Linked DNA regions of Caenorhabditis elegans. The protein of the gene in region 3 interacts with the protein of the main gene of each other region in a biochemical or structural test. Each region holds a gene or a part of one and is shown on either strand. Other genes may lie near its edges.

Evidence for each region.
Region 1: the proteins of uig-1 (region 3) and pxl-1 form a complex in vitro, tested with the Caenorhabditis elegans proteins (one study listed by BioGRID).
Region 2: of the proteins of uig-1 (region 3) and cdc-42, one has a biochemical effect on the other in vitro, tested with the Caenorhabditis elegans proteins (one study listed by BioGRID).

The regions. Positions count from the first base shown.
Region 1 is NC_003281.10:5,887,123-5,900,148, reverse strand, and holds pxl-1 (Paxillin homolog 1), read left to right. Parts: upstream 1-4,137; 5' UTR 4,138-4,142; coding exon 4,143-4,188; intron 4,189-4,469; coding exon 4,470-4,599; intron 4,600-4,674; coding exon 4,675-4,763; intron 4,764-4,809; coding exon 4,810-4,903; intron 4,904-5,862; exon of another isoform or gene 5,863-5,920; coding exon of another isoform or gene 5,921-6,018; coding exon 6,019-6,070; intron 6,071-7,724; coding exon 7,725-7,871; intron 7,872-8,130; coding exon 8,131-8,304; intron 8,305-8,546; coding exon 8,547-8,642; intron 8,643-8,690; coding exon 8,691-8,825; intron 8,826-9,471; coding exon 9,472-9,750; 3' UTR 9,751-9,876; downstream 9,877-13,026. Other genes in the region: C28H8.8 (uncharacterized protein), read left to right, coding at 11,374-11,436, 11,739-11,873, 11,917-12,039, 12,089-12,296, 12,681-13,026. UniProt on the Caenorhabditis elegans protein: Required for myofilament organization of the pharyngeal sarcomeres and for pharyngeal muscle contractions and hence for pharyngeal pumping. Together with lin-8, might be required for myofilament organization in the body wall muscles.
Region 2 is NC_003280.10:7,611,861-7,621,261, forward strand, and holds cdc-42 (Cell division control protein 42 homolog), read left to right. Parts: upstream 1-4,591; 5' UTR 4,592-4,596; coding exon 4,597-4,719; intron 4,720-4,772; coding exon 4,773-4,937; intron 4,938-4,987; coding exon 4,988-5,185; intron 5,186-5,530; coding exon 5,531-5,620; 3' UTR 5,621-6,385; downstream 6,386-9,401. Other genes in the region: R07G3.7 (uncharacterized protein), read right to left, coding at 1-82, 586-847, 1,002-1,158, 1,207-1,439, 1,697-1,821; Immunoglobulin domain-containing protein oig-4, read left to right, coding at 1,763-1,930, 1,980-2,129, 2,175-2,226, 2,455-2,552; R07G3.8 (CYRIA/CYRIB Rac1 binding domain-containing protein), read right to left, coding at 6,654-6,749, 7,243-7,441, 7,800-7,955, 8,006-8,079, 8,125-8,387, 8,436-8,652.
Region 3 is NC_003283.11:13,287,517-13,297,243, reverse strand, and holds the start of uig-1 (Protein vav), read left to right. Parts: upstream 1-4,851; coding exon 4,852-4,957; intron 4,958-6,527; exon of another isoform or gene 6,528-6,677; intron 6,678-8,067; exon of another isoform or gene 8,068-8,216; intron 8,217-9,727.

The DNA.
Region 1 (13,026 bases), on a different chromosome or scaffold from region 3:
TTTAATATTTTTACCCCAATGTTACTTGGTTATTCAAAGTAAAGTTAACCCCATTTTGTTCTGACTTTTCATGACTTTTTCCCACGGTATCATCCATTCATTCATTTTTTTCCCTTAACCTCACTCTCTCTTCTTTTCATTTTTGTCTGTCCCGTCATGCCAGTCATCCGTGTTGGTATAATTACAATATGAAGCAGCGTTCGTTCTTTTCAAGGACAATTGCCTTCTTTTTTCTCGTTGTTCCATGAATTCCATATATTCCAGAGAAATTGAATCGTCGGTGGCAGAGGATTGAAGGTGGCAGAGGAGAGAAGGGGAATGTCAACTGCTGTAGATCGACTTGGTAAGCCTTTTCACTTTTTTTAGAAACAGTGTCACCAACTGAGTTTTGAAAGAAATTAGATTACTGCTTATATCAAATTATTTTGAAAAAAAAAAATTGGAAAAAGTTAGATCCGAAAAATATATTCCAAAACATGAAACCCCACCAATTTTCTTTTTATTTTCCAAACAAAAAAAATTACAAAAAAAAATCATTGGGTTTCTATTTGTAATTTGACGTTCTCAATTGAATTACAAAAAGAAATGAAAAAAATTAAAATCCAAAAAAATTTGTCGAAGAATGTCCTTCCATTAAATTCAAATGTCTGCCATATCATAAATGACGTAATAATACCTGAATATTCGAGAGAAATGAAATATGATACATGTTGAGATTCAAGAGGTCCCTCATGCACTTCTTGCTCACTTATACGCTAGGTTCTAGTTTAAACTTCGTCTATTATCAGAATTTGGCAATACAAAATTGTGTAAAAATGTTTTAATTTCAAGACAACATATGCCCCTCTATTAAAATTTGAAATCACCCCCAAAAAGGAAGGTGTGTACTGCGTTTTGACATTCAAATCTTTCAATATTCACAAAAGTTTAATATTTTCCAAATTTTTTGCATTGTTCCTTGTTCCAATATGTAAAAAATATTTATTCTGTGCAATTTAATTTTAACTGCAAGAGGTGCATGAAAACTGGAGGGAATATTGTAATAAGATAAACTCTGGAATTTTCAAAAACATGATCAATTTTGAATATTTAACATTATATGTCAAAGTTTGATACAAAATGCATACCAATTTGATGTGTTCTTCTCAAAACCCACACTTTCTTCGGTCTCAATTGTATCCTCTCTTTCTCTTTTCCTTCTGTTGTACTTCCTTCCCTTCTACTTCATTCTCTTTTTCTATAAAATCTTCTCTAAAATCGTCGTTTTCTTCTTCTTCTTGATCATTTCCGCCCACCTATCACTTTTTCCCTCATGATGCCCGCTCACTTGTTTAGCAACACGAACAGCTGTGATTTGCCTCTTGCCACTGATTCCAATCACTTTTCTCCTCAGCTTTTTCTATTGATATTTCAATTTTTGTTTCATATTTTTGATTTTTTTTTCTAAATTTGGCTCCGCCCATTCATAGATGTCTGTGAACTCCTTCCTGCTCCGTATAGAATTATTAAAGTTTTAATGGTATAGAAGAAAAACTAAAAATACAATTCAAAGTGTTGAATAAAAAAATAATTTATATATCTATGTGTCTACTTACCGTCTATTTTCTGAATTTTTTGTTTGAAGATTTACGAATTTCCCCGATTTTGGTAATTTCAAATTATAGAATTAAATGTGAAATGTTCGCGTACAAAAACGGGTGTATACAAGCTGGCATTTTTTACCTACTTGCCTTAAAAACTTGAATCTTGAATACGGTACGTGGTCCCGAAAATAAAATTGGTGACCGAATTTTCTTACGGGACAGTGTAAAAAATTATCCCATATTTTAAGAATTTATAATAATTTTGTTTTCTAAATTTTCCACAAATTCCGTCTTCCACAACTGATCCCTAGGTACACTCTCCTTTCGAAACCTACTTGAAACATTTTGCAAACTTTTTTTCTGTTTGAATTACGATATGCTCGTATGTGTCTCTTCGGATCTCCATGATCTTTTCAAAGTCATTTCGATGGTTTTATTTATATCCGTGGCGGCGCAAACTTGTCATCAAAAAGTTAAAGCATGCGGTGGGAGGCGAGAGACACTCTTGACGCGTTTTTTTGTTTTACTGTGAGCAGATCTCTTGAGTCTCTTGGAGACTTTTTTTGCTAGCTTCACTAACTATTACAAGACATTTTAGAGCATAGTTTTCTTTCTAACCAGTGGAGAGTTTTATCTAGAGTCTTTAGAGCCAGTACCATTAATAAATTTCATCAATTGTATAGAGCCACATTTTTAGAAACTGTATCATTTTTAGATCAACCGTCGTACTTACTATCTTACGGCAGCCGTTTAGTTACATTTCAATCGAATTCAATTCGAATTCCCTCAAGCCTGTGTACATCTCAATCTCTTCCTCCCGCTCATTCTTGATTCAAAAACAAAAACTTTGCCTCCATTTCTTCCCGCTCTTTTCTATGTGTCGTTTATGTGTCTGTCTCTGTATCTCTTTAACTTTCACACTATTTCCTTTTATCGTCTATCTCTTCTCTTTTTTGAAGAAACTCCTAAAGATTAAGGGCCAAGATCATGAAGAATTCCCATGTTCCATTTTCTAGTTTTTCCTTAAATCAAATAATATTCTGGTAAAATAATAGTTTCAAGAAGTTTCAAGAACTTCCAAACAACTTTCACAATATACCGTAGAAATTCATAAAAGTTTTGACATTTCTCATTTTTCATGCATGATTGGCATGTTCCTTTAGTACTCGATCCGGTTTCACAACACCGTTTAAAATGTGATCTATTCAAACGGAATATGTGATTTCAATGTATCTCTTGTCATAGGGAGACTTCTGCTACTTGGCCGAGAAAAGGGATACCTCGGTCATCGCTTTCTTTGGCGGTCATGTTGCTAATAATTTATTTAGATTTTCCAAAAATTTTTTTTTTCGAAAAAGAGAGATTGGATTACTAGATTGGATTACTGATTTGACTTTCAAGGTTTTTTTAAATATTTCCTCGTTATCGATCCCTTTTCCAAGTACCAATTATTTCCAGCAACCTGGATTATTTTCTAATTAAATTTCAATTCAATTAGCAAAAACATGTACTAGGAATATGTGTAATTGAAAAAACTCTTAACGAACTGAATTGCATAAAACCATTCCTATATGTTGCTAAAATGTCCTAATATCATAGAAAACGGTTCAAATGTTTTTTTAAAATAGTGTAGTCAAAAAGTGGCTAGTTCTCACCTTCTTAATTTTGGAATTCTACAAAAAAGTTTTTTTTTCACAATTTTAAATTTGAACCAAAATTATCTTAACACTTTTTCACAATTAAACTAAGTTTTCCTATTGATCAAGCTTTAACTAATATCAAAATGATCATTCCTATTCTGAGAAGCAAATTAATCAAATTAAAATATATGGAAAGTAGACATATCTACATTAAAAAATTTTTTATGGGAAAATAGACACTTCTAATTTAAATTTTTTTAATGAAAAGTAGACACTTCTACTTTAAAAATTTGAGAGGTGAAGTGTCTACTTACTATTAGACATCCTTTTCAATATTTTAAAAACTTAGGCTACTGGATTATTTTCTGAGGATTCCTCATCAAACTGTAATTTTTATAAATAAAAATTTGTATTTTTGTTATCCAGATGCTATTCTTTTTTCAATGTTTTGTACTTCTTTTATGTCATCTCCATAAATCTTTTTTCCTTCTCCTCCTCTTTCTTTCTTCCTTTTTTCTTTTTTTTTGTCGGCTTCTTCATCGTTTTTTGTCTTCTTCCTCCCACTTTTTTCCACTCACTCACACATATTTTGACACATTCTCTCACATTTTTAGTGGTCCCCATACACATGCATACACACTCATCTATTATTGCACTTTTCCTTCTTTTATACACCCTCATTGGTACCGTTTTTTACTATTTTGAACATCTTGTTGTAAATTCGATCAATTGATAATTTGTTGATTTTCCGAAACTTGACTAAGCCGTCGGGTTGCATTCTGAGGTTCTGAAATAACTGAATTTTGGACTTTTTATAAAATCCAATTACATTATAACTTCTAATAAAGCTCTTTCGTCCGCCTTTTAATTGTTTTTTTCTTGATTTTCTCCTGAACATTTTTTGAATATTTCAGTAAGAATGCCAAGCGACGATCGTTTTGCGGATGCGGTTAAACCAGCTTTAGGTACCCAAGAACTTTCTAATGGAGGCTTTCCGGTGGAGAAATGCTCCCAGTAGTAGTCGTAGTACTAGTTTGGAAATTATGAGTTTTTTGATTAATGGGAAACTTATTAATATTTGGATGGAATTATCATAATTTTGAAAATTTATATGATTTTCATACTTGATAGTTTTCAATAATAAAATTCTTAAAAAGTGGGTTTTCACTTTTCAATTTGAAACATTGAAGAGTTCAAATTCTGTAATTGAAACAAAAAATAAATAAATATATTATTTTAATTTCAGAAGCCCTTCTATCGGATCTTCAACACACCACAGAAGTGCTCCGCCGTGCTCATATAAGTGATCGCCGCTCACAGAGTCGTGATGATTTTGAGCAATCCTATGATCTTCAGGGAAATCTTAACACACAGAGGTTAGTTTTTTTTTAATGTTACAAACCTTTCCATACATGTTTTAACATAAACTAAACATCTAATATTTGTGTCAGTGTGAGCAATGGAAATATAACCACTTCACCCTACAAACGTCGTTCGTCAGAAGGAAAAGATTATTCAAAAAGTCAGGAAAGGATTTATGGTTTGTTTTTCATGTAAAGAACATTAATATGTAATTGTATCTGTAGAAAATGAATCAAGACTTAACCCACCAGTCTATTCACGTCCAAGTGTCCAAAGTCTATTGTCTCAAGTCGAAGAACCACCAATTCGAGCAAGCAGGTAGGAGAAAACGTTTTTTGTTTTTTTGAAAACATTTTTATCTTCGGAGTCATATTTTGAAATTCGTGGCCTAGAAAAACCTTTTAAAAAGCTATACTATGAGTCAATTTAAATATTAATTTCAAATCTTCTGATTTAATAATTTCAAGAATCTTGCGATTAGGATTCTTAAAAGGAAAAATTTAAAAAATTTTGATTGGCACTTTCAAAAAAATCTGTAAAACATTAACATCTTACATCTGAGAATGCGAAAATATAAATCAATGGCCTAGAACACACAAAAAATGTTAGACCAACAATTCAGAATTTAGAATTCTATTAGGCATTTTAATTCGAAAATTCATAATTTTTTGTAGCCTAGAAAGTTCACTTAAGGCCTCGACATTTTTATAAGATTTGTTGAAAATTGTTAATTTTTATATCAACATTTTTTGTGCATCTTCAAAAAAATTGAAAACTTATGTATATCACGAAAATTGGTTCAGATATATATTTTTTTAATTTCTAAAAGCTTTCCAGACAACAAAAGAAAAATGGCCTTTAAGTTCCAAAAATAGCTCCGAAAATAAAAATGTTGAAAATATAAAACTAGAAAATTCCGATTTGAAATGGTCAAGCCCGTTTATCAAAATGCCAACTCCGTGTTCCATTTTCCCGCCGGCTCTTAGGTCATTTCCCGTGTTTCTGCGTCTAAAATCCCGGGAACAAACAAAAACTCAAATGTGAAGGGAAGAACGAGAAAAAAGACTAATAACATACACGCATATTACTTCTACTCGTCTCATCCCGTGTCGCAAATCATCTCTTCTTCCCCGGTACAGAGGAGGAGCCGGTTATTTTATTTTTCACTGAGTTTCTTCGTCTTGCTCAGTATCTCTTGAGCTCAACAGGGGTAAAATGCTGTAGGGCGGGAGAGTACCTACTCTCTATCAAGTGAGAAAGAAAAATATAGAGAAAAGGAGCAGCACACCTTTTTCTTTTCCACGCACACAACACTTTTACCTATCACTTGGCGGAATGATGCGCGAGTTGCAACAACGGCTTGACCATTTCAATGGTCCAAATTATGCACAAAATAGTCATTCAAACCACCAACAACATCATTCGGTTTATAGCTCACGCAAGAGTCTCGGACCACCAAGTCAGGCACAATCCTACTCTGATGTCGTAAGTTTTTATTTCTTTTCGGGGGGAGCTTCTGGGAAGGGAAACTGAAATGTTTTCGTTGGGAGACCTTAATTAAAAATGTCCTTAAATTAGAATTTTCAAAATCCCAGAATCTTCATTAAACTTTCCCAATCTCTACAAATCTAATTCCGGATATTTCTGTGTTCACAAATTTTAAAACCTAATTTACTGATCCTGAACGATATGTATTCAACTTAGACGCAAACTTTATGAATTTGTAGTTTTTCCTATTTTGGTCACATGACTACAAAGTAGAAAATTCGGTCATTCTTTTAAAATAAAGGTTTCTTGAAATTTTTGGGACTTTTTGAAATAAAAATAATTTCAAAATGTTTTTTGAAATATTCAATTTACTGTCAAAAATTGGCAATTACTCGGGTTTTGCCACTGGTAATTCAAGAAATCCACCAGAATATTATTTAATTTTTGTTCAATTGTTCTAAGTTGACCATTTCTTGACAAAACTTTCAAAAATCTCAAGAAAAAATGTAGAGTGTTTAAATATGGTATTAGGTCATGATGGACTATTACTAGTATGGTTTATCAAAATCCACAATTCTTTCACTTAAACGTCATTGCTCCAATTTGAAAGATCATAAAAGATTTGGCAACATTTCACAACATAGTCTCCTCATTTAATTTGAATACATTGCTCATCTTGCTTGTTTTGTAGGATTCCATTAATCCCAAATGCAAGCGTATCCCCATAAAATTCAGATGCTCCACTACTTCCTCTGCTTCTTCTTTTCCCTTATTTTCATGTTCTGAGAGCAACTATTTGTCTCCCTCGTTTTCGTCACATTTTTCAAAAACTTTTCAGTTTCATATTTTACAACATAGTAAAAGGAGAGGAAGCAACAAAAAAAAAACGAAAAGTGGAGCGAAATTTCTGTTTGTAAAACCTTCTTTTATTGCCGCGTGGCTCTTTCTTTTACGTGGAAACACGTGCTAGAGAGTATGTGAGAAGAAGAGACACAGACGAGCTCCACGAGCAAACAGTACGGGGGGCTTCTAGAGGTTGAAGCGGGGGTGTAAATGAAGGTGAAACGATGGGAATAGAGAAAGGGAGATATTGTTAGCTTTTCCTTGGTTTTTGATGAGAAACCTTTTGGAATGAGGTCATATGGAACGATTTTTAGTGTATTTTGATGACTATTTGGGAAGGGGATCTAAATTTCGAAATTACAAAGTTCGGGTTTACAGAGGATAAATAAAAACATAGGGAAAATACTTCCATACCCCGCTATCAAAAACAGAATGACCTCGCTAAAAATACGCCGCGGCAATTTTACTAATTTTTCACAGAAAGTTTCCAAAAGCATTCTAGAAATGGATTTGTATACTTTTGTGTGGTCTAAAAGATCATTACGTAAATTAGAAAATAAAAATTACCCCGTTTTTTTGGCATATTGCACCTTTTCTGTTGCCACTTACCAATGTTCAGTCATTTTTCATTTTATTAGTTTTTCAGCTTACTTTCCGACAAAAACCTTTTTCCATTAACTATAAGTAAATATGCCAATTCCAACAAAACATACACACACAAACATAAATTTGTCATAATGGTCTCGCAACGAATGAAAACACACATTTCCAATCGTTGCCCATATACATAAAAACGTGGAACTTATAGAGATCGAACGGTCGGTCTCCATCAAGAGACCCACTGCATTCGGATTCAATGATTGGAACAATGAATGGAGAATTGAGCTCAAAACATGGAGTCAATACAATTCCAAAAGGAGATTGTGCTGCCTGTGGAAAACCGATTATTGGACAGGTGAGCGTTTTAATAAAACAATTCTAGAATATGTGAAAAGTTCTAGGATTTATTAATTTCGCTGTGTATTACTGTTTGGCATCCTGAAATTTAATTCTGATTAACTGTGACGTAGGACAGTTCAAAATAATGTTCTCGCGGTATTTAGTTAAACTACGAGACTCTAGAAATTTCCTCAGAATAGTTTTAAAAAGAATTATTAAATTTCAACTTTGGAATGTCCAGAAAATCAAATTTGAAAAATAAAACCATTTTTCAGGTCGTCATTGCTCTTGGCAAAATGTGGCATCCGGAGCATTACACTTGCTGTGAATGCGGTGCCGAACTTGGACAACGCCCATTCTTTGAGAGAAATGGACGTGCTTTTTGTGAAGAAGATTATCACAATCAATTCAGTCCAAAGTGCCAAGGATGTCATCGAGCCATCACTGATGTAAGTGACGTTACAAAATTCTTAGTCATAAATATTTGGTACAATTGGATAATAGTGAATACAGAATATTGTGCATGATTTGTAGTATTTCCAGTTTTGAATGTACAACGAAAAACGCCGATTAGTGGAGTTTTGCAAAAATTAATGTGGACACAAGTTTAATAGTGTTTTTTTTTGTTAATCATCTTGAATATATTTTCATGAAATAAAAATGATTAGAGAAACAAAATTTAAGTTTCCAGAGATGTGTGAGTGTAATGAACAAGAACTTCCACATTGAATGCTTCACGTGTGCAGAATGCAATCAACCATTCGGAGAGGATGGATTCCATGAGAAGGTTGGTTAAAAAAATCCGTTTGAAAAGCCTTTCAGTTTACACTTTCAGAATGGACAAACCTATTGCAAACGTGACTTCTTCCGTCTATTCGCCCCAAAATGCAATGGCTGCTCTCAACCAATCACCTCAAACTTTATCACCGCTTTGGGAACTCATTGGCATCCGGATTGTTTTGTCTGTCAGGTATTTTTAGTTCATTATCATTTGTTAAACAAGGAAGTCAATTCAAAAATTAAAGAAACCATCGAAAACCGATTGTGCGGTATGTTTCTTGTCGGTGTCTCTCTATTCGTCTATTCGTTTCGTTTTTTTTTTCTTACCCCTTTTTATTTTTAATGAGTGGAGCAAATTGGCTTGTGTGAAGTGCCAGAAAATATTATAATGAGAGGCTTTTCGTTGATAGTATGCTGCAGTGATAGAGTTTTGTGGTTTTTTTAATAGTAACATTTGAAGTTAAAAAAATAAAACTATATAAAACTAACTATAAGTGTTAGGTTTATATATTTTTAATTTTGAGCCAACTGACTGAGTTCACATGGGACCTATAAAATGTGCAAATTTACAAGTTTGATTGAACCTTCCAAAACTTCATATTAATAAAAACCTTGACCCCTAATATATTTTATAATACCATTAAAAAAGATGTTTCGGTTTTTCGGTTTATTGTATCTTTCCTTACCTAGTCGATATAGACATAATTAAGCATGAAATATTTTAGAATTATTCCTTTAGCTGTAGTCAATAGTTTTATTTTTGGAATAAAATATTATTTTTATTTTGGTGTGTCATCTGTAAACTTCCCTAAATATATGTGGATTGTTCTTTACAGCATTGCGGAGTTTCTTTCAATGGTGCAAGTTTCTTTGAGCACAACGGTGCTCCACTCTGTGAGCGACATTATCATGAATCTCGTGGTTCAATCTGTTCTCAATGTCGTGGAGCCATTAATGGAAGATGTGTAGCTGCAATGGGAAGAAAGTTCCATCCGGAACATTTTAGATGCTCATATTGTAATCATCAACTGACAAAAGGAACATTCAAAGAAGTTGATCGTCGGCCATTCTGTCATAAGTGTTATAATAATACGTATGCATTGACTCCTGCCTAATCTTTTTTTTTCTCTTTTTTGTCTCTCCTGTCTTTTTGTGGTTTTTCAAGTTTTTTGAAGGTGGTAACTGGAAAAGATAATTCAGTAATAGTTTAGAATATTAGGCTTGGATGAAATCGAATATAATATTTTTCTCTTTGAGATTTTCTAGTTCTCTAATGCCATACTTTTCAAAAATTTAAGTGTCAGCTAGCCTAAATCCATAGACTTCAGCTTGACATACAGGATTAAGCCTAAGCCTAAACCTATACCTTAACTTAAATTCCAGTCTACTCAATTCAAAAACCTTCCACCTTACCACACGTCCATTGTATAAAATATGAAAAAAAAAAGTAAATCAATTTTCAAAAAAAAACCAAAATTTTTATTAAAATTTCTACGCATTTCAAAATCAAAATTTCCTCCCCACCGCCATATCAAACTTTTCCCCCAGTCACTTTTTTTCTCAACTTTTAATTGCATTTTATCGGTCCCCCCACCCACCCTCCTTTATCTTAAAAAATGCTCAATTTCATTCAATACAGGGCAACACTCACTTCGCACAACAATGCCCAATGGATGTCACTTATTTTGAAGAGGAAAATGCTTATTGATATATTTTTCCCTGTCTCAATTTTGTTTTGATATCTAACTACCTGCTAATACTTTTTAAATTTTTAAATAAAGTGCGATTTTTTTAATTGGATTTTACTTTTTATAAAATGTTTCAGGTGACAAATGATTTTGATTATTTTGTAGACGATTTTTGTGAAGTTTTTTTTAGTGAAATAGAGGTAGACCTTTTTAATTTTAAATATTTTCAAAAGTCAAATTGAAACATGCATTTTGCAAATTTGAAAATTGAAAAAAAAAAAAACTAAAATAGTCACTGTCCAAAAAATTGTACAAATTATATTTGTTTGAAGCGTGGGACGGCTAACGGTAACATCAATTCTAAATCGGCGAACTTTGTACCGTAATTAAACTAACTAAAAATTAGATCAAAAGATTTACAAAAACGGGGGAGGCACTTGTGTTTGCAGGATGCTGAAAAACTGAAATGTTTGTACAGATTGATGTTGGAATTAATTCGAAAGGACACAAAAAGGCAAGTGTAGTTAAAAAGTCTAGTCATTCGAGGAATAAATCTTTTTAACTTGGAAGCTTTCAAACGACAAGAATTATGATTCGAGTTATTACAAATGGTAAGTTATTTCCTATTTCTGAAGACTGAGCAGTGGTGGGGTGGTCCACAAAACTTCAAAAAACTCTCTTAATTGCGCATTTGTAATTGTTTAGCTATTAAATTATGAAAAACTATTTTTATAAATTTTATATTAAAATAATAATTTACCTATACTCTCATTGTTCGGATTTCTCATTTAAAATTTAAACAAGTAGGCAAGAGTAGTCAAGGATTTTAGAGTTTTTGCTTCTTTTTGGTCATCAAAGGGAAATGCAACTACTGGTGAAACTTTAACCGTACTAATATTCGAAACACTTGCATAAGTTCGGAGAACAGTTTTATATTTCCGAAATGTACCAGAAAGTCATAAAAACGGTTTTTAGACACGCTTTTTATATTCTACGAAAATTTGTTCAGAACCGTCCTATATGGCTTCACGGTGGATGCACAACTTCAAAATGTTCATAATCCTATTTTTGTGCTTCACTGTTCTTTTCATGTTGTTCTATCCAGATTATAAAGTGAGTTTTGGATATTTTTTCATTTGAGAAAAACACCCCAGGCAACGACAAGTTTTTAGTTTGTACCAGTGATCTTTTTGAAACTTCCTTGAAATTTTATCAAAAAGAGCTTCCTTTAATTTTCCGGATGCAAAAGTCATGTAGTTTTTATATTTGCCGAAGCTACCAAATTTTTTGTTTTCACGGCCATGTTGCAAAAGTGTTATTTGGCACTAGGGTGGGGTACGGTAAATACATCTGTGGTTAGTAGCTACTCAAAATTTGTTCTTCCTACCATTGAATCTTTACAAACTGATGTTCAGGTACACCAATTGAGTTCATATAGTCGTGAAACTTCGCTTCCAATCACCAAAAACAGGCGCTTCTTGGAAGCAGCCGACGAATGGAAACAGTGCTTTCAGGAGAAACTGAAAAGGAGCAGAACCGATCCAAAAGAGGTTTAAATTGAACGATGATCCTGATATGACGTCATAATTTCAGATGTGGTACTGGGTGAAACGTGTGATTAATCAATGTAGAAATGAAACTGCATTTTCGAAAATCGAATTGACTGGTGTAAAGAACAAAGATGAGATGAAATATCATGTGTACAGTCCATCTCAGGTTTCTCAATTCCACCACAAAAAAACCAATTTAATTCAAAATTTGCCAGGAACCAAGTGTAGTAGTAACTCTTGGCATTGGTTTGGATGTGAAAGCAGAAACAACACTCAAGGAAACACTTCCGACGAATTCCCGATTCTATGCCGCCGATCCAATATACACTGGAAACGGAGAACTTTACGAACCTGTTGGGTCGTATTTCCCATTTGCTGTGGGAAAAGAAACTGATGTCTCGACAGCGTTGGTGCTTAAGAACCGTTAGTTTTCTTCAAATATTTATAGATTCAGCAGCCTAATGTTTCTAGAGGCTCACGTTTTAAATGTAAATTTTGGGCAGGTTCAGGACTTGACTCAAAGGTGAAATGGATTTTTTATCAATATATTTCTACCAATTAAAATATAATCAGACCTTGACTATTTGTTTTTTCTCACTTTGAAGGTAAGCTCACTGAGAAATATGAACCATAGACGATAAGCAGGCATGTAGGTTTGCCCACCAAATGCAACATATTTCGAGCACATGTGACATGTTCGAAGAATCATTTTTTCTACCACTATGAAAGCTGACTAAATATTGACCAAAGCTACTAATTTTTTTTGTAAAAAATTTTTACAAAAAAAAATTAGTGATTGAATCTCAGGGAAATATATAAATCAAGTGATGCCCCACATTGACATCATCACTTTCTTCAAAAAATTCGTAAAGGAATCCACGATAGATCAATTTTTGATGGACAATGAGGGACCCGAATACGATATCCTTCCGATGATGGCTCGCGGAGCAGAATTCGATCAAAATGGGATAGTAGTGTGTCAAATGAACACAGAGGTTCATCAAGCTGACGATGAACGGAAAGCAAAATTTTTAAGCATAATGAATACGATCATTGAAGATGGGAGATATGCATTTATGGTTGCTTATGCTACAGTACATCATCGATTTTATGTGATTAATATGGAACATCCATTTTGTGTTGATAAGTATTT
Region 2 (9,401 bases), on a different chromosome or scaffold from region 3:
GACTGATATCTCTCTTGATTGGCTTGTGATGCTGTACACTGTGTTTGTATCTTTTATCGAACATGTGAGTTCTATCGTGTCTCTGTAAAATATTATTTTTTAGCCTTTATTATATTATCTCAATTATTGTTGCGAAAAATACGGTACCCGGTCTCGACACGATAAGTTTTGTAAAAAAATTAAACACGCGTGCGCCTTTAAGAAGTACAGTAATCTCAAATAAAAATTTGATTTTTCAGCACTTTCGGCGATTTTTCATATTTTTTCTTATGTGCAGTTTTTTTTTTTAATTTCAAATTGTACTTTTTTAGTTTTTCTTATAAATAATTATATATTATTCGCAAAAAACATATAAAATTCAATATTTTTTTTCCTAAATTACAGTACCCTTCTCCAGGGCTGTAGATATTCTTTTTCGATTTTTCTTCGTGGACTGGCGAAGCCGTATTTTTTTATAATGTTTTTTAAAACAAAAAATTCTGATATACTGAAAAATTCATAAATTTTCAAATTTTACTTTTTTTGGTAATATGACGAATTTCTACTTTCTTTAAAATTTAAAATTCTCACACAAAAAATACTCACCTGTACATAATAATATTCCGGAAGTGCTCTGTTGCATTTCCCATCGTTATAATCTTCATTGAGGTGTAGCTGAAACTGATTGTAGCTGTCAAAAGATCCTTTACAATTGAAACAGAACACTCCAGCATCATTGTGACCGAGACATTCAGAAGATTTCAAAGTCACTTTTGGACGAGGTGGCTGACTTGATGGAACTAAAACATCTTTAATCGGATAATGTGGAGTATCATCTTCAAATTCTTGTTCTTGAGCGTCGTAAAATCTGCAAAAATCTTGAATTACTTTTCTGTTGAAAAAAGAAAGGGAAGACTCTTGAAAAAGAAAAGACAACGAATACGGAGGTGCTAATCGAGTTGAGAGTCACTCTTCTCTCTTTTCTCATCGTCTTCACCACTTCAGTTCAATTTCAAACTCACTCTTGGTCTGGCTCAGAGTCTAGTAATTGATCTATTCCAGGATCTTCTTCTATTTCAACTTTTTTCGGTGCAACTTTATTGGGTCTTAATGTTTGTTCTAACACAGCCATAGCGTTGAATCTCCATTGCTTTTCCGAATTTGTAGCCAGTTTTATTTCTGAAATTACTTTTATAAGGATTATTGAGAATAATAAATTATTCGTACCATTCGTAACGTCATAATCTGCAAATTTTCTCGATTCTTCCTTCCTCGCAGCTTTTCTTTTTTCTTCCTTGTCACAAACATGTTCTTTAATGTGCAATAGCGTACGAGAAGCAAGTCTACAGTGATCACAGAAAAATGGAAGAACTCTTGGTTTCAGCTGCTTCTTGTATTTTCGAACTAGATTCACTGCAATTCGATGGGAAGGGCTTCCACTGTTCCATCGTTTTGGACGGCTGAAAAATAAATATTTTAGAACATCCCCGAATAACAAAGATTCAAGCATGACATACATCGAATAAAACACATTACTCCTCTCTTTTCTTCGTTTCTCTTTGCTCTGTCGAAATATTACACTGGTGTGAGAGCAAGAACACATGCTATCGAAGTCCAGAGACTTCCGATCAATACTTTTTTACTGATATTTTTTAAATAACTAATTGGATTTAAATGTTCTTCGATTTATAATTCTTTTAGAGTTTTTTCAACTCACCTTAACAAAATTCCACGAAGTGACGGGTGCAGAAGATAGGCTGCACCAACTGGTAAATCGCGAATCATGAGCTTCCGATTATGGGGTCGATGCATTTTTTTCTTCTGCTTCTTGCTGGAAGCCATCGATTCTAGAGGAGGTCGTCGAGGCGGAAAAGGAAAGGGAAAGAGTAATCTGCAATTTGCACAAGTTGCAGAATTTTCGTTGGTTCAAACGGTTTTGTCAGATAATAGAGCGAGTTTCAGAAATAAAAAAAATGATACAAAATTTGAAAGTCTTTCAGAGTGCTCAAATCATAACTGGCTCTCACTTCAGTCAAACATATCGGCTTGGATACAAACTACTTATCATTTGCAAAGCTCGTGGAGATCCTAGACCGACAATTAAATGGTATAAGGAAGGTGCTGAAATTCAACCAAAAGCTAGCATTCACGTGAGTCATGTACAGTAATCCGTGGGTTAACTGCTTTACTTGCAGTATTACGAAAAGCCAATCGAAAATGATACAATTTGGAGTAAATTAGAAGTTGGTAAGTGAAAATTGTTGTCAATCAAGAATATCTTTAGAACCCTTGCGAAAAATGATACAATATGATAAGAAACTTTTTTGTCACTGTCAGCAAATTTTGGAATTTCGCTCATTTCTCTACAATTTTTTTGCCATATTCAGCGCTTTTTAAAGTTTTTCTTCTTAACTGTGAGCGAATGGCAAACTACAATAACGACAGCTAAATATACGACAGTTGTCATATTTTCAGATCCGGCAACAATGGGCGATCAGGGTGTCTATGCATGTGTGGCTAATAACCCGCACGGAGTAATGGCAAAGAATTTTAAAGCAGAATATACGTATTGAATAAAGATTTTTCACAAATCAAATAATTTTCTCTCACCTAATCTATATCATATAAACTTGCGAAGGAATGCGTTTGAAACCTCCTCCTTCTGTTGCGTGCAGGCGCACGAGCGACAAAACAAACAGTGTTTGGGAGTGAGAGAAGCGGGATGAACAGGTGTGCGGTGGCGGTAAATTCGAGTGAAGGCGGGAATGTGTTCAGAATGAATACAGAAAAAGAGCTGATGACGTTGTAAACGAAATTCATGAACGAAAAGCAGGCACATCTCGCGCGGAAAAGGGAGGAGACGCGGCAGGGAACCGGATTGGGGGACTATTGATCGAACAATAAGGAAGAAGAGAAGTACGCGCCGTCGGTTATCGAAACTCCAAATTTTTCTTCTTTTAATTGGGAAAAGTATTACGAACATGTAATTTCATGGAATTCACACGGTTTACAATGAAGTTATCAAGAGAAAATATGCAATTCTAAAAATTTAGGGCAGATTGAATCGTCGATTGGATTGAAGTGAAAGAAGAGAAATAGAAATTTCGCGAGTGAGATTCAATCGGAGCATTGTTAGAATTCTATCTAGAAATGTAAGACAAAAAATACGAAATAGCATATTGAAATATAAAACCTTAAAATTAAAAAGAAGGCAATTTTAAAATTAATTTTACGAAATACAATTGAGAAAAAATGGAAAACACAACGGATTCAATCGAAGTTAATATTCTAGAGATGGTATTTATAAATTGAGGACAAATATTCTGCACTAGGAGAAACAAGAAAAAAGAAAGAAGTTTCTGGCTGGCAATCGTTCGCACAGGAAAAATAAAAAACTAAAATGGCCGCCCGTCTGTTAGCATGGAACGGGTTACGCTAGTTATAGACTAAGCTTACATACAAAATATGTATGTATAATATCCTCACAGCGTAACAAAGTGAGATATAGTTTAAATTCTAGATGATGACTTTAGAAATCCTATTTGGTGGTTTTACGAAGTTTACAGCGTCATTTCTAGACTGAAACTGACCAGTCTGGGATATCATTTGTCTAATCAAGTACTCTATCTAGATAACTGACCGATCTAATAAGTTTTCACGAGTTACGGGACCTAAATTTGAATCCAATAATTCGGTGACGACTGGCGACCCTATGTTAGATGTAGTGATGTCTCCATTCTCTCAATACTCTCTCGTCTTTTTCTCTGCGTATCTCACCACTAGCGTAGTCTATGAGTGCGAGCGGCCGCGTCGCGGTCGTCTTTAGGCTCGCCGACAAACTGTCCACCATCTTCTTTTTTTCCTTTTTTCGCCGTGTTCAACAAAGCTCATTCACGCTTTTCGTTGTTTTACAGGCTTTTATTGTTTTTTCTAATTATTGATTATTCATTTATAAGAGCAGAATTAATCAATAAACGTAGGTAGACGATCGAAGTATCCTATCAGTTTTTAATTTGATAAATTTTCTCGAAAGGAGCAATCATGTTTTAAATTATTTAAAAAATGGTCCGCTTAAGTTTGTCTGACTGTTTAACAATTATTGAAATCATTTTCGTGACATTTTATTGAACATTGCTTCCAAATTCCCCTAACATAATCCTGACTGAGATGTTCCAGTGTTTCATGTCGAATTATTCCTATTTTTGTACCTTTTCTTAAATATAACTAGTTTCAAATATATGCAAGTTGTTTGGTACGGAAAACCGATTCAAACTTCCGACCAGTTACCGATGAATCATTGCCAAAATTCCTCATCTAAAGAATTATACGCACAAGTTGTTTTGGCCATTTTGCCTTATTTCTTCATCGTTTATTAAGGCGTTTACCGTTTTTTTTTCTTGCTCTTTCTTCGATAATTATTGCTCCCAATGGTAAAGAAACGCTCGTGGCATTTCGAAAGAGACTATTGATTTTCTGCCTGATGTTTCGCAATTCGTTTTCATTCTCTAGTTATCTCTCCTTTTAAAACGTGTGCGTGCACATTTATGTGACTCATCCGTATTTTTCACTATAAAGACGTAATTTTAATACTTTTATTCATTTTTTTTTTCAGGCGAAATGCAGACGATCAAGTGCGTCGTCGTTGGAGATGGAGCTGTCGGTAAAACTTGTCTCCTGATCAGCTATACCACAAACAAGTTTCCTTCTGAGTATGTGCCGACAGTCTTCGACAATTACGCCGTAAGTTTAAGAAAAAAAAATTATTTTATATAAAAATAATTTCCGAATTTCAGGTCACAGTAATGATCGGTGGCGAGCCATACACATTAGGATTGTTTGATACTGCTGGACAGGAAGATTACGATCGATTAAGGCCTCTATCGTATCCACAGACCGACGTGTTTCTTGTTTGCTTCTCCGTGGTTGCTCCAGCTTCATTCGAGAATGTCCGAGAAAAAGTAAGAAATATTGTTCTCGAATTTATTCTATATATCTGAAATTGTTTTAGTGGGTGCCTGAAATTTCGCATCATTGCTCAAAGACCCCATTCTTGTTAGTTGGTACTCAAGTCGATCTCAGGGATGATCCAGGAATGCTCGAGAAACTGGCAAAAAACAAGCAGAAACCAGTGTCAACGGATGTTGGAGAGAAGTTGGCAAAGGAATTGAAAGCAGTGAAATACGTTGAATGCTCAGCGTTGACGCAGGTGAGTCATTCTTTCCAAAATAGTCATTGATAATATTGAAACATTAAAATAAAATATCATCCAATCCACGAAACCTAATCAAATAATAAATTTTTAAATATTAAAACGAGGCTCTTGTGGAAATACGTGACACTTTAAAATATAAATATCACTTTTCAGTTAAATTGTTGCTTTATATTTAGCAACGGTCATGTTTTCGGGAAAAACGAACAACCAGAATTCTGTTTTTATTGTGCAAAAAATTATCTCCTGAAATGCTCTATATTCCGGCTGAAAATACCATAGTTTTCATATTATGTTGATTAAAAACGCTTGTATATTGAAGTTTAAATAGTTTATTTTCAGAAGGGACTGAAAAATGTATTCGACGAAGCCATTCTGGCCGCTCTCGACCCACCACAACAGGAGAAGAAGAAGAAGTGCAATATTCTCTAGGAACGTCTTCCTTGTCTCCATGTTTTCCTCTGTTTTGTGACTGTGTTTTTCTTTCTATGTCCAAATTTTCTTAGCCCCCGACTTCCACTCTTCTCATACTTCTAAATTTCCCTGAAAAATGCCAAACGAGAAGCGGTTGCTGTTATTTTTGACAGCATCATAGAAGATGATTTTCTTCAATTCGTCTCCTGTAACTTATCCAGTAGAATCTCGATGAGCATGATTCCAGAATTTTTTAATTGTTTCGTATAGAATTTCGATAAGCAGGGCAGTTTATAGTTTCTCATCTGTTTTCGAATTTTTATCGAATAATCCCCTCGAAAATTTTTAAAAGTTCATCCAAATTAACTATCATTCTTTTCAATGACACCTCCTCTTTAACATTTTCGTCGTCGTTTTTATTTTCTTTTTTATCCCAAAACGTGTTTATAGTCCGGATACACCGTTACGTAATGCGCCTTCTCCTTTCCCATGGTTCTTTTTATAATTATATAATAGGTGTTGTATAGCACAACCAACTACATCCCGAGTCGCTTGTTTCTTCATTTGCTGCTCAAAAATACCGACCAGTTTGTTTTTCTTCTTTCCTTTTTTTTGTGCTTTTCTGCCTTCACACATCCATTTCCCATTTTAAACTGTTTTCTCATCCACTACGTTTTGTGTCTCCCTCCTCCTTTCTCCAGAACAACTCTGTATTTTAATTTTTCTACATATTGTTGTTATATATTTGCGATCCAAAACAATAAAGGTGTGATATAAAAAATTAAGATGTTTATAAAAGATCTTGAAAAGTATACAAGTGGGTGTTGTAGAAAAAGAAGAACCGGAACCATAAGGCATTGAGAAAAATAATTAATGAGTGGGTGAATTGGAACGAAAAATAATTATTATCACTGACAAAAAGTACTGTTTGACGAGGAGAGGAACATAATCACCGTGTATGAGGAAATGGGCTTCAACTAGAAACGATAAGAGAACATAAAATAGAGGCAAGGATGACTAGAATTAATGAACAAATTGACAAAAAATGAAATTATTTCACTTCAATCAAATGACGAAGAGATTTTGGAGTACTTGAATCATTATAATGTTTTGTTGTGAAACGAAGACCAGCAAGTAGACAATCAGACTGAAAATAAAACAATTAATATGGGTTGCTCAATTTTATTCTAATTTTTATTATGGAAGCGCAGAAAAATGCTCATTTTGAAAGCGCGTTTGCAATCGCGCTTTACGGACAAACTGTTGGGTCTCGTTAGGTATTCGCAGAAAACTAGAAATTCGAACATGTTCAAACATTTTTCGTCTGCTTTAAATGCTTTCCGCTATTCTTTTAAATTAATTTCAGTCCGAAATTGATGAATTAAAATTTATAAACGAAAAAAAAATTCGATTTTCATTGTCACATGCATTTTTAAAATAATAATTTTGAAACAAAAATCATTAAAAACAACTTCAAATTGTATGAATTAATGCTGTCAATTCCTAACGAGACTCATAGTTTGGCGTTGGAGCGAGCTTGCCCCTTCATTTCATTTTTCTGCGTCCCCATAATGTTTGGAAAACGATATAAGCAATTTTCGCTCTACTACACGAAAACTCTAAATATGAAAAACGCTTACCTGTTCAGGAGTGGTATTTAGTTTGATCAACCTGACAACATCTCTCATATCAATTGATGAGTTTGACACGAATGCACCATTTTGATCTACGTGATCGAATAATATTACAAGGCCAGTCATCACTCGACAGCAAAGATGTTTCGATGAATCTGTCAGTCGTGCCAGACATTCGTCATTTGCTAACATGAATCGGCAAACGCTGAAAATTTTAATACAATTTTATTTTACCGTAACTCATCATATCGTAACTCATGACTGATCAGTGAAAAAAGTAGTTGAAAATCACTATTAAAGTGCAAAAATGACCAAGAACTTTCCAAAAAAAGTTAATGTTTCATTTGCAGTGAAAAAGAAGATCAATTCATAATTTTGGAAGTATTTTTGAAAGATTTGTCAGATTTCCAAAACGTTGACTGAAACTTTTCATAACACTAAAAATTATTTAATCACGATATTTAAAAGATTTCCATTTTCTTGCTTGTGTTCCATAAATTGCGGATGGAGTTTACGATATATTCCAAAAGTATGTTTTTCAGTTTAATTTATAGAAAACTCACTTGATAATTGTTACAAAAACATCAGTTGTATTGTTAATTGGCAAGCTTTGATGTGTCTGCATGTACGAATCTACACCATTACAAAGTGCTTTTAACATTGGATTTCCTTCACAAAGAAACATTTGAACTTGTGGTAATTCGGGAACTCCTTGGTCTCTACAAATTTAAAATTATATTAGATTGTTTCAAATAAATTAAATACTTACTCAAAATCCTGATAAACAATATGTTTTGCTCGTCGGTAATAACTGTAATCATTTGTTATCTGGGCGGTTCTCATCTGAAATTAAATTTTTTTCTTTAATTGGAAAAGTGGAATTCATACTTTTACGACATCAAAGTCCAATACAAATCCAATTAATCGTGCAAACTGTTTGGCAATTGATTGTTTATTTGCAAGTTGTTCTTCGAGAGGTAATGGGCCAGATGATAATTCCCATAGAATTATTGGTACGATTTTTTCAATTTTTGCAACATGTTCATAGTAGGAACATGTTCTGGCAACAAATGGTTCAAGCTTTGTCATTAAAACTTTTAAAGCTTGAGTATCACTGTCATTTTTTAATTGATTTCTTTCTGCATAGCAACCTGAAAATTGATGTTACAAGTCTACTAAAAAATAAAAATCTAACGTACCATTTCCATAACTTGATACATCAGCAAGTACTAAATCACAATCATTTAATACTTCTTCAGCCATATTATATATTTCCCTTTCTTCATCTGTTGGTTGTGCATTTTCAAAATCCACAAAAATCTCGACCCATTTTGAATTATCATCTGCTGTTGATCGTATAATTGATCGTATCATCTCAAGACAAGATGCATCAGATTCTCGAATATTCGACGGCATTCTGCGAATCATTAAGCTGAGTATTGAATAGTATTTTAGAAGTGAAAGTTGGAAAATAAAAAGAAAATAAGCGTATAATTACACGATGATCACATGAAGATTATAAGATGCCGGAGAAAAGTAGTTGAAATGGGGGAAAATGGAAAACAAAAAAACTGGGAATCTTGAAAACAAGTACCATCTGGAGTTGAAAGGGAATGAAATCAAAGTGTTCGAAGGAGAATCTTAAAAATGGCAGCTGGACGATAGCCGGACAAAAAAGCTGGGGAAAGATGCACCTGGTACAAATTGCAGCTGTTTCAGAAATTGCTGCGAGTAAAGTAAAAAGGTCAGTGCTCTTGGTGCACTTTAAATCTAATTTTAAAAAAATTGTCTTGGTACATATATAATTATCCAAAATGACAAAAATGAATTTTTAGATTTTTGAATAATAATGAATTTAGGTTAATTTTCGAAAACTTGGACTTTCTGACAATGAGAAGTTTAAAACAGTACTGCAACACCTGGGATGTTGGAACAAATATAATTTAAATATAACAAAATATGAACTCGTATCTACGAAAATTAAAACAAAAAATATAACTTTGGCATTTGGACATTTTAGCACCATAAGACGGTAATATTTGTCGCGTCTAAAATTTAAAAGATTTCAAAACTTATAGTCAGATACCATGGCTACACTATCAATTGTGAAAAACCAAAAACTGTCTGTCAGCTAGATAAGTATTTTGAATGAGAACCGAAATTGT
Region 3 (9,727 bases):
ATTTCTAAAGACTACCGCTCACATCTCAACGCTGCATTGCTTACTCTCCCTTTCGAGATATCAACAGTTTTTCCCGATTCGCTACTTGATTATGCTAATCGTGACCCAGTCTCTTTGACTGATTCCTTTATTCTTTTCGCTCACGTGGATCCGCTCACATTCTCAATTTGGGTTCACTATCGTTCAGTTTACATTTTTAATATTAATAACAGGAACTTTCAAAATAGAAACAATTTTTTGCCAATTTATTAAAAATTAAATTCAGATATAATGCTCTACCGTAGGTATTTTTAATTTTGCTCTGAAAAAGTTGAACTTAAAATTACCTCATAATTTTTCTTTGATAAAATACAGTTCACGATAGTCTGTAACGGTTAGAAAATCGTTAGAAAACATCACTGACTAGTTTTATGATTCACACGATGTTTTTTTTCCGGTAATGAGGGTTCAGGAAACTATTGTTGTTTAATACTTGTTTTTGACGTTTTCCAAACACATTCTATTTTTCTTTTCTCTAGAATCCCGAATTTAAACTGTCAAATTGGCGTTGGGCATAACTACTTTAGAACGTATGACAAGATCATTTTGCATAATTGTGACTTTAAAAAATTGACTTAAATAAATTTAAAAAATTCTGATACAGTTTTTTACAGTTGCAATTTTTTAATTAGGGTAATGCCTCGAGGCTCAACAAGTAGTTAGTGTTCAGAACTTCTCAATTAGTTGAAATTTTTTTTTCTTTTAGTTTTTAGACGTTTTGTAGCTTTATAGTGAGTCTTTAGATGTGTACCAGGGATATGCGGCAAACTGCGAACGGCATACGCCGTTTGCCGAAAAAAAATTAGGGTTCGCCGAAAAATCCGGATCCCGAACAGCCCTGATGTGTACAACATTTTTAAGTCACTATTTTCTCACACACCAATAATCCTACTTTAAATATAATTTTTCTTTTAAAATTAAATTTCACTTCGTTTTTATGTTTCTACCGACATTGCAAAATCGTCGTAGCATCCGTATCTTTTTATCTACTCATTTTACAATTGTTAGCATTAGAAGACCAGTGGTCCCTCCTCGTGCTCATTTCAATAGTGCACAAGCACACAAGCGATTTCAATATGTGTCTGTGTCTTCTACGTGATGCGTGAGAACAGGCGTTCTTTCGTTTTCACTATTCAACACACTTCCACTCATATCCCAGAGTTGCTCCACGTAGATTCTTATCACATATCTTCTTATCATCAAATAGTGGGACACACACACATCTTATCCCGTGTCCCTCCGTCCCGTCCAGTTCCAGGGTGTCTGAGACCTGACCTGACATTTTGAAAAAAGAAGATACTTAGATATATATTCATTTTGAAGTTTGCAACACCGCGCCGCTCAATGACTTATTACTACTATTGTCCTGTAAGAATGAATGATGAATGACGAAACAAGAAGACGACGGTTCATTTATTTAGTAGGTTAGTTCAAAAAACAATGAAAGAAAACAAAAATTACATGTTATGCGGTGAATTGTAGGGTTTCTCTTTTTGTGTGTTCGTGTGCCTTTTCTTTTCTGAACAGAAATGCCCTATTTCACTGCATTTCCTCCCCTTTTTCACATGATCGACAGATGGTTTTGTTGTGCACAATGCATTGGCAAACATGGTATCCGGAGAAGATAGACGTATTTTTATACGGGGCAGCTGGGTGAAATAGGTCGAGAGTTTAAAAGGTTATCATATTATTGAACGTCTAGGAGTTACATTTCATTCACTTATCTTTTTAATCTATGATGAAATTGAAGCATATCTAGAAACTGGGAGTGTGACTTAGTTAGATTTTCTGAAATCACTACAGGATTTTCTTTGGGCTTCACGATTGAGAAAATATTCAAAATGAATGAAAACTGCTCAAGAAGTAATACAAATAATTCAAAATAAATTTGAGAATGCCGAACTTAAAGTTTTTAACATTTCTGAAAAAAATTAAAAAACTATATCCTCCACTCGATATTTGAGCAAGTGCGCGACTAGTTCTGAAAACTATAAAATTTTTAATTATCCGTTTTTACCTCGAAGCACTTACAATTATAAATTGCAAACCTTTTTAGAATGTCCTGTTTTTTTTTCTATATTTACTTGGAATTTTGTCGGATGTGATGTGTTCAATTTCACAACGGAATCTTTTTAACTTTTAATTTTATACCAAGCTGTAAGACAAAAGTAAATTGCCTTTTTTAGTCAACTTTGCAAACTGCTGCCTGCATTTGCTTTTAGCTATGAGATATTAAACTCTGAAAGAAGCTTGAAATTACAGTGAACCTAACTATCCTCTGATTCCATATTGCCAAAAAGTTGCTTGCCACATTCCCAAGTTCGCCCTCAAAAAAAGTTTCAATTGACAAAGGGCATATTCCCTTGATGCATTGAATATTATTCCAGTGACACGTAGCCTTTCACCTCGAATGTTTTTGTGTCTCTGGTACCGCAAATCTCATTGTCCATTTCCGTTGATCTAATCTAATTCATCATTTTTACCCATCTGGTGTGCAGTTTTCCGGTGCGGTTGTCGGCAGGAAAAGACAAGAGTGCTCTTTTATTTTCATAAATCAATTAATTTTCTTTGCCTTCCTCAGCCTCTGACTTCTGAGTCCAAAAATGGAAAGGCTCGGTTTTTCGGTTTTCAAAACTTGGAAGAAACGTATTTTTGTCGCTTAACCAACTTTAAACTTTTTCAAAAAAAAAACCCCGAAAGATAATATGCTCCATGTCTACAAGGCTTTCAAAGTGTCCAATTTCTGTTGAAAGTTCCCTGTTCTTAGTCTCTATTCCAAAGCACAGAGCAAAAGTTCAGAGTAGGTCAAAAGAGCCGCCGGAGATAAAAAAGATTTCCAAAATACCTGAGGCAGTTGTCATTTATCAGTGATACACGATGAACGATGTTCAAAGGCTGAGTGTCACTTGGACTAATTGCCACACACGCACACTCACAACTCTTTTCATCCAATTCTTCTTTTTCTCACATTTATATGCCAATGGCCTCTTTTTTTGTGCGTTTTTCTTATTGAAGTAATAAATCAAAAAATCGAAATAAGAAAAAGAGTCTTATTGTGATGCGTCAGATAAATAAACAGGTTCCTCTCCTCCCCCGTTTGCAAATGAGCACTCCATTTGAGAGCATATCCACTTGCCGTTCTCTCTGACTCTTTCGACACCTTTCTGTGTTTTGAGATTACATTGGATCTTGGATCTGTTCCAGATTTATAGCTTTGTTTTTTCTTTTCTCACAATTTTCCAATTGACAAGTCACATAAAATAATAGGGAACTGCTATTTGAAAGACTTTTTGGTTTTTGATTTCATATTGCCTAAATGGCTTCGAGGCTAGTGATTTTTGGCGAAATAAAAACCTAATTTTTTTAAATCGTGAGCTCTTTTTGTTTCAACTTTGCAAAAAGTTGGCAATCCCGAAACTAAATTATTTTAAATGGTGAACATGCTACATAATTTTACTACTTTTCTAAAAAAATATATCATTGGTATTCCCCACAAAATTATTTTTTATTGCGTTCATCTATTCAAAAATGGTACTTCTAAAAAAAGGGTTTAACATCAGCCCAAAAAACGTAAAATAAGCTGATAAGCATTATTGACACTTTCCAGCATTGCCCTCATTCATGAACTCTGTCCGTAAGAGTTGTTCATCTATTTGCACATTTCTTATTCAGAATATAGAACTAGTGAATCTTTCCGATAATCCTCCAACCACTTATAAACTGAACCGAAACCGAAACAAGGCAATAAACATTTGGTGAAGATGAGCTTGTTCTTCTTTATTCTGTGGAGACCGTTTAGAGGTGGATAGCTTTTTTTCTAAGAATACAGTTGTTAAAAAACTAGTTTTATAACTTTTGATACAATTATTTTCAATTTTTTAAATAAGGTTTCTACCGTTTTTCTTCTATTACTATTATGCCTATAATACCTTTAAAAAAATAGCTACTTACCTATTTTGAACGGAGGTTTTTTTGTTATTATTATTCTTGTTCGATGATTCCAGTTAATTCATGAAAAGCCAAGAAATTGAATTTTTGGAATTGATAAACTACTAATTTCAGATGAGCAACCAAAAATTTTAAATGCATTGGTCTAGCAATAACGACGGTCTTTGAAAATTATCTTACTATTAGCAATCATATTAATAAAGGAATTGCGGTAATTCAAAAGGGAGCATCTTCCTCCGATTGCTCTTTGGCAACACAGTTTACCTCTCTCGTTTGGTATTAAAACTCCGCACGGGCCGTATTAGGAGTGTAAATACGGGACCAAGTAGTGTGACGAACCCTGCGCACAAGTATCAAGTTGACTCTTCTTTCTTACATTCCTACATTACCACCACCACCACTTTCAATCTTCCGTTTGGTATTCACTGACTTCAACATCTTCTTATTGTGCCAATTTATTTGTTCCTTCGCGTGGTTCAGAAGGTTTCTGAACGCTAGAGCGACGTTTCTTCGGTCAATCCCCCTATAATTACTTGTATTTCCGATGCGATCATATTCCCACAATTTTCTGAATTTCCCATGTTTCATCGGCTTTGAATAGAAACCGAATAGAATTTGACCAGAAAACAAGACGCAAAAAAGTGGAACATTAATGCTATAATTTGATGAAAAACCTTGCTTGTGGAACTTTGTTTCAAGTTTTTACCCTAGGTATCCATTTCTTCGGTTTCAAGTCCAGTTAATAGGATTAAAGCAAGAAATCAAAAGATTTATTTTGAAACTGCCAACTTCCTTTACCGTTCAATCTTTCAATTTTCTTTCGTTTCTTTTACCGATTTAAATCTTACTCTCTCTGAAGGTGCAATGTCGATTGGATTTTCCTGGTTCCGCAGGAGATTCAGCTACTACGAAGATAAGCAACAGTTCTCTGAATGTGCAAATGACGATGAGCCGACTGTTCAATTACAAGGTGTGATTTTTTTTTAACGTAAAATAGTTTTTTATTGTGATTCGATTTTTTTCATATTTGTCAAACTCTCTTTTGTTTTCAATATGTAGTATTCAATTAGAAAAGCAAGCTAAATTTTTTTAAAATGGCTAAAGTTTATCAGATATTAATAATTTCTACTCTCAAAAAACTTAAAAAAAACATTCCCCTAAACTCGACATTTTGAATAAAATTTCGAAAAAAATCCATATAGGAATAAAAATTACTGCCTTCGTGCCTACCAGCTATTTCAAACTTACATACATTGAAGAATAAATACCCAATCCTTGTAAATTTGACCTCAAATGTGACGTAGCTGAGCTTCTGTCTGTTCCATGTTTTGATTCGTAGGGGAGTCGATATTCAACGGGTCATGAAAAATTATAAATTTTATTTTATTTTTCATAACATTTTTATGTTTCAGATTTTATCTAGGTAAATTTAGGAAGAACATATCGTACTGAGTAAACCATTTGAATATTTTCATGAGCATGTTTTGAAGTTTTTCAAACGAAATGCAAAAATCACCTGCAAAACTTTTACCAACTCTTTTCCCATTTTCCAAGATCTTCCGAACTTTGAGACCCACTCATTTAAAGTCCTCACCAAACATCGGTATTACAAGACCAATTTTCGCATCTCCCGATTAAAACTTTAGAAATACATACAAAAAAAGAAACTTTCAATTTCCAAGTCCGATCATCAAGGCACATATTGTTTTGTTTGTTTTACATCCTCTTAACCTGGCTCTCGTGTAACGTGTCGATGTTTACTACAGTTTCCTTTTTTTCTTTAGTTGAGATGACACACATCGAATCATTTGCTTTTCTGATTTTCACCTCTTTTTGATCGAACCATCGCAGTTTTTATTTTATTTTTTGCCCTCTCTCAATTATTATTTACTAAAGAGAAATTGGAACGTGAGATTGTTTAGAAAAAAAAACTGTTTGATTTTATTGAGAAGCTTGTTTGATATGTTGGAAGGAACCTCAAGTGTTCATAAGATTTAGTAGTTGATGAGAACTTGAGGAAATGAGATATATAGAGAGAAGGTGGAGGAAAAGTTTACAAATTATCATTTTGTACGTGTTCGTGTTGTTACAATTCAATTTCATTTCTCATAATCATATCCTTCTCGCTTGTTGCAAAATCCGCATGACCTAATACTAAATCCAATTTTAGGAAACATAACCTCATCCTTTGTTTAGTTTTCTCTTCCTTCCTAAATGTCAATATTTTATTCACAACCTAGCGATTTTGTTTAGCAAGGCATTTTGGGAGCTTGGAAAATTTAGTTTCTCTAAATTCTACAGTCCTCCAACATTCATGTTAATAGTCTTAATTTAACAAAACACTATATCCCAAATTTTATTGTTACACTCATTTAAGTTTTTTTTTCCCATTTTATAAATTTTTTCATTCCATTTTTTCTGAAAACATACAAAATCTAAACAATTATTTATTTCAATTTAGTCAAGTCATCATTTAAACCTACATATACATTTAACTCGAAATTCCAAAATTTCCGAATTTATATAATAAATCCAAATAGTTCACATCATCATAATAATTCAACAAAAGTTGACCTCAAACGCCACCCATGCGCATTTTCATGGATGCCATGCGTATGGTTATTATTATTATGATTTTTATTATGTCCATCATCACACTCCGAAACTCTTTTGATGCCCTTCCGCAGATTCACGCGCCTATTTAAATGTTGACGCGGCAACGGTTTTATTATTGTTTCGATTAGGAAAATTCTTATGTAATCAGCCGATTGCGTAGAATATGAACATTTTGCATTGCATTGTTTTTGTTTGGTTTCAAGAATTTTCTGAAGCATAGGTTACATCATCGTGTAATTAGTTGAAATTCAAAATACAAGGTTTTCCATCACCAAATTTTGAAGACAAAAAGTGCACCACAAAATAATTCTGCCAGATCATAGTCAGTAGCTATAGTTTATAAATTGTAAATTCCATAAAAAATTGACCCAAAGTTACATTTTCTTCATTGTATAGACGAAAAACAAGTGTAAATGAGTTCGTAATCTAAACAAATTGAGTGTAGCAAAGTACTTGGACAACGACTACAACCTCCCATCCAGAAAATGTCATTTGTCAGTTTTCGATGGCATCTTTCCCCCCCCCTCCATTTTCCTTCTTCTCTCAGAATCCTAGAATACCCATCAATGTCTTTTAGTCAAGATATTTCTCGGCCCATTTTCTTGAATGGAATCATGCCGCATTTTCTCAATGCTTTTTTGTTCGTCCTTTCCCTCCCTTCATTCAATGCTCAAAGTGTCAAATATTAGAAGCCACAATTACACCACAATGTGTGTGCGCGGAAAAGTGTGGAGGAGAACATCTGCGACTAATGTTATTCAATAATCTCTCTTCTAATACAAAATATTTGAATATTTGTTATCTGCTGGGTGGCAATGGCGGCGGCTCCGGTGAAAAGCCGGCACTCGAGAATTGTTTGGAGATAAACGATATTCACATTTTCAAAAAATAATTGTTGATTATATTTGATTTCGAATTCAAACCTGCCACTTCAATTCTGTTGCTCCTTGAATCTTTTTCAAGCCAAAAATTTCAATTTGTACATCACCAAATGTTTGATAACACCAAAGACATCCAAGTTGTTAATAACTGAACTTTGTTATTTTGCACAAAATTTCAGAAGAAATATTTTGATTATTTTTTGATACTTTTTGAAGTGCTAGAATCAACATTGAATTTGAGCTAGACAAATGACCAAACCATCAAATCTCTTAGAAAATAAAAAAGTGAAGTCGTATTGACCATATAAACAGTGAACTTATTATTGCTTTGCACGACATTTAAGCACAAATATTTTTGAAATTATATTGTTGATTGCTCAATATATCACCAAAATATCTATATATCCTTGCCACTGAGAATTATTATAAAACTGATTTCGAAATATTTCTTCTCATCAATCGTGAAGAATAAATATAACACCAAGATTCCAGTATTTTATTTTAAGATTTAGAGCAATATATTGTTGTTGTTGTTCTTAATTCTCTGATTGCCTCCTCATCTACTACTCGGTTTTTCGTATTGGCACCATGATCTCGCCCCTTGCGAGTCTGGCGTGATGATTGTGTATTTCTACGCGACAGTTGCGTAAGATGTGCGTGTGATATCCGAGAATTAGGCGGCAAGAGATCAACTGAAAATCAATAGACGCAGAGAAAGTATCGGAAAGCCACACGGACTCTCACACGATGCCGGTTGAAAATGATATAACCGCTCCTTCTGGATTTTGATTTATTCTTCAGCTCATTGATCTATACTTTTCTGTTTAAATTATTATTTTGAACCTTAAAACATCCATTTTACTGTATGTAGCCTTTACAGTTCTAAATTTTGCGCTGTCTTTTCCAAAAAAGTGTGTTTCGAGAAAACAAAACCACATTTAAATCAAAACAAATAAATTATAGATATCAATTCAAGGAGTACGGTTCAATTTCTTATAATCCGAACTTGAAAATCGCCCGAATCACTTAAGATCAACTCTTGGAAAATATACTTGAGCAATCCCGGAAAAAACCTCTGAGCTGCTCCACTCCGTTCATTTTCTTTGCACTTGTCTCTTTCTCGTTCAATACTTTTGTCATTTTCTCTTTTCAACTGATAACTGTTCCAAATCCTCAGTTTCCATCCGGTTGTTTTGACGATTTCTTCTCAATTTCTTCGTTTTGACCGATGACAACCTTTATTTTTATTGCGATTTGTTATGTGAAATAGAAACGATGATTATGGGCAAATCTATAAAAGCAAGAAGAAACGATGAATGTCCTTCATATTTTCTTTTCTTTCGGAATCTTTTTACTTTCCCGAGACTACTGATAATCTCATTAACCGGAGTGGAATGGAAGGGAGCGAATGAACTGTCAGGATATTGTACTTTACGTTCCTCTTTATCTTTTTATCTTCTCACCTGACTGAACAAAACACATTCAATTATATATAGTGTTCCCTTATATTTATATATTTTTCATCTCAGAATTTGTATTGAGAAATTTTTTTGAAGCTAGTATTCCTTGCAAATATAAAAACCTTTTTTTCAATTGGACTTTTGAAGCTAAAAATAATAATAAATGACCATTTCATTATCAAGCCGGAATGAAGAAAATTCGGAACTTGGCGTTAAGCTTTCGAAAATAGTAACTTGCCAGTGATTAGGTATTTATTAAAACTGATAAAATCTAGGTGAAGCTCTTTTGAAACTATATTTAAAAAAACAAGAATTGAGTGAAGCTTTTCTGGCTCAACATTTGCCAAAAGTTCGCGACAGTTGCGTAAACTTCTCAACCAAATTGCCATTTTTGGGTGAAACAAAAATTTAAAATTATGAATTTTTAATAGTACCATTTGTGAAACTGTTATTTTTTGTCTCCTACTCATTAAAATTATAATGTCTGAACCTTAATGACCTTTCTTGACTTCACGCCCAGTTACCCATACACTGACCTTTTTCGAAAATGTTTTATTCCTTAAAATAAGGAAACCAAAACCTGGTTGACTTTTTTGTGACAGTAATTTTCTACTTTGCTGCCCGTTTCTCGTTTACTATTTTCCAATTTTCAATTCAACTTCTAGAATTGATTTTTCCGTACTTTTGTGTGTGTACACTTGTTTCAACCTCTCGAGTATTCTGCCATCTTCTATGACGACCTTTTGTCCTTTTCTTGCATTTACGCCGAACACATGTCCAGTT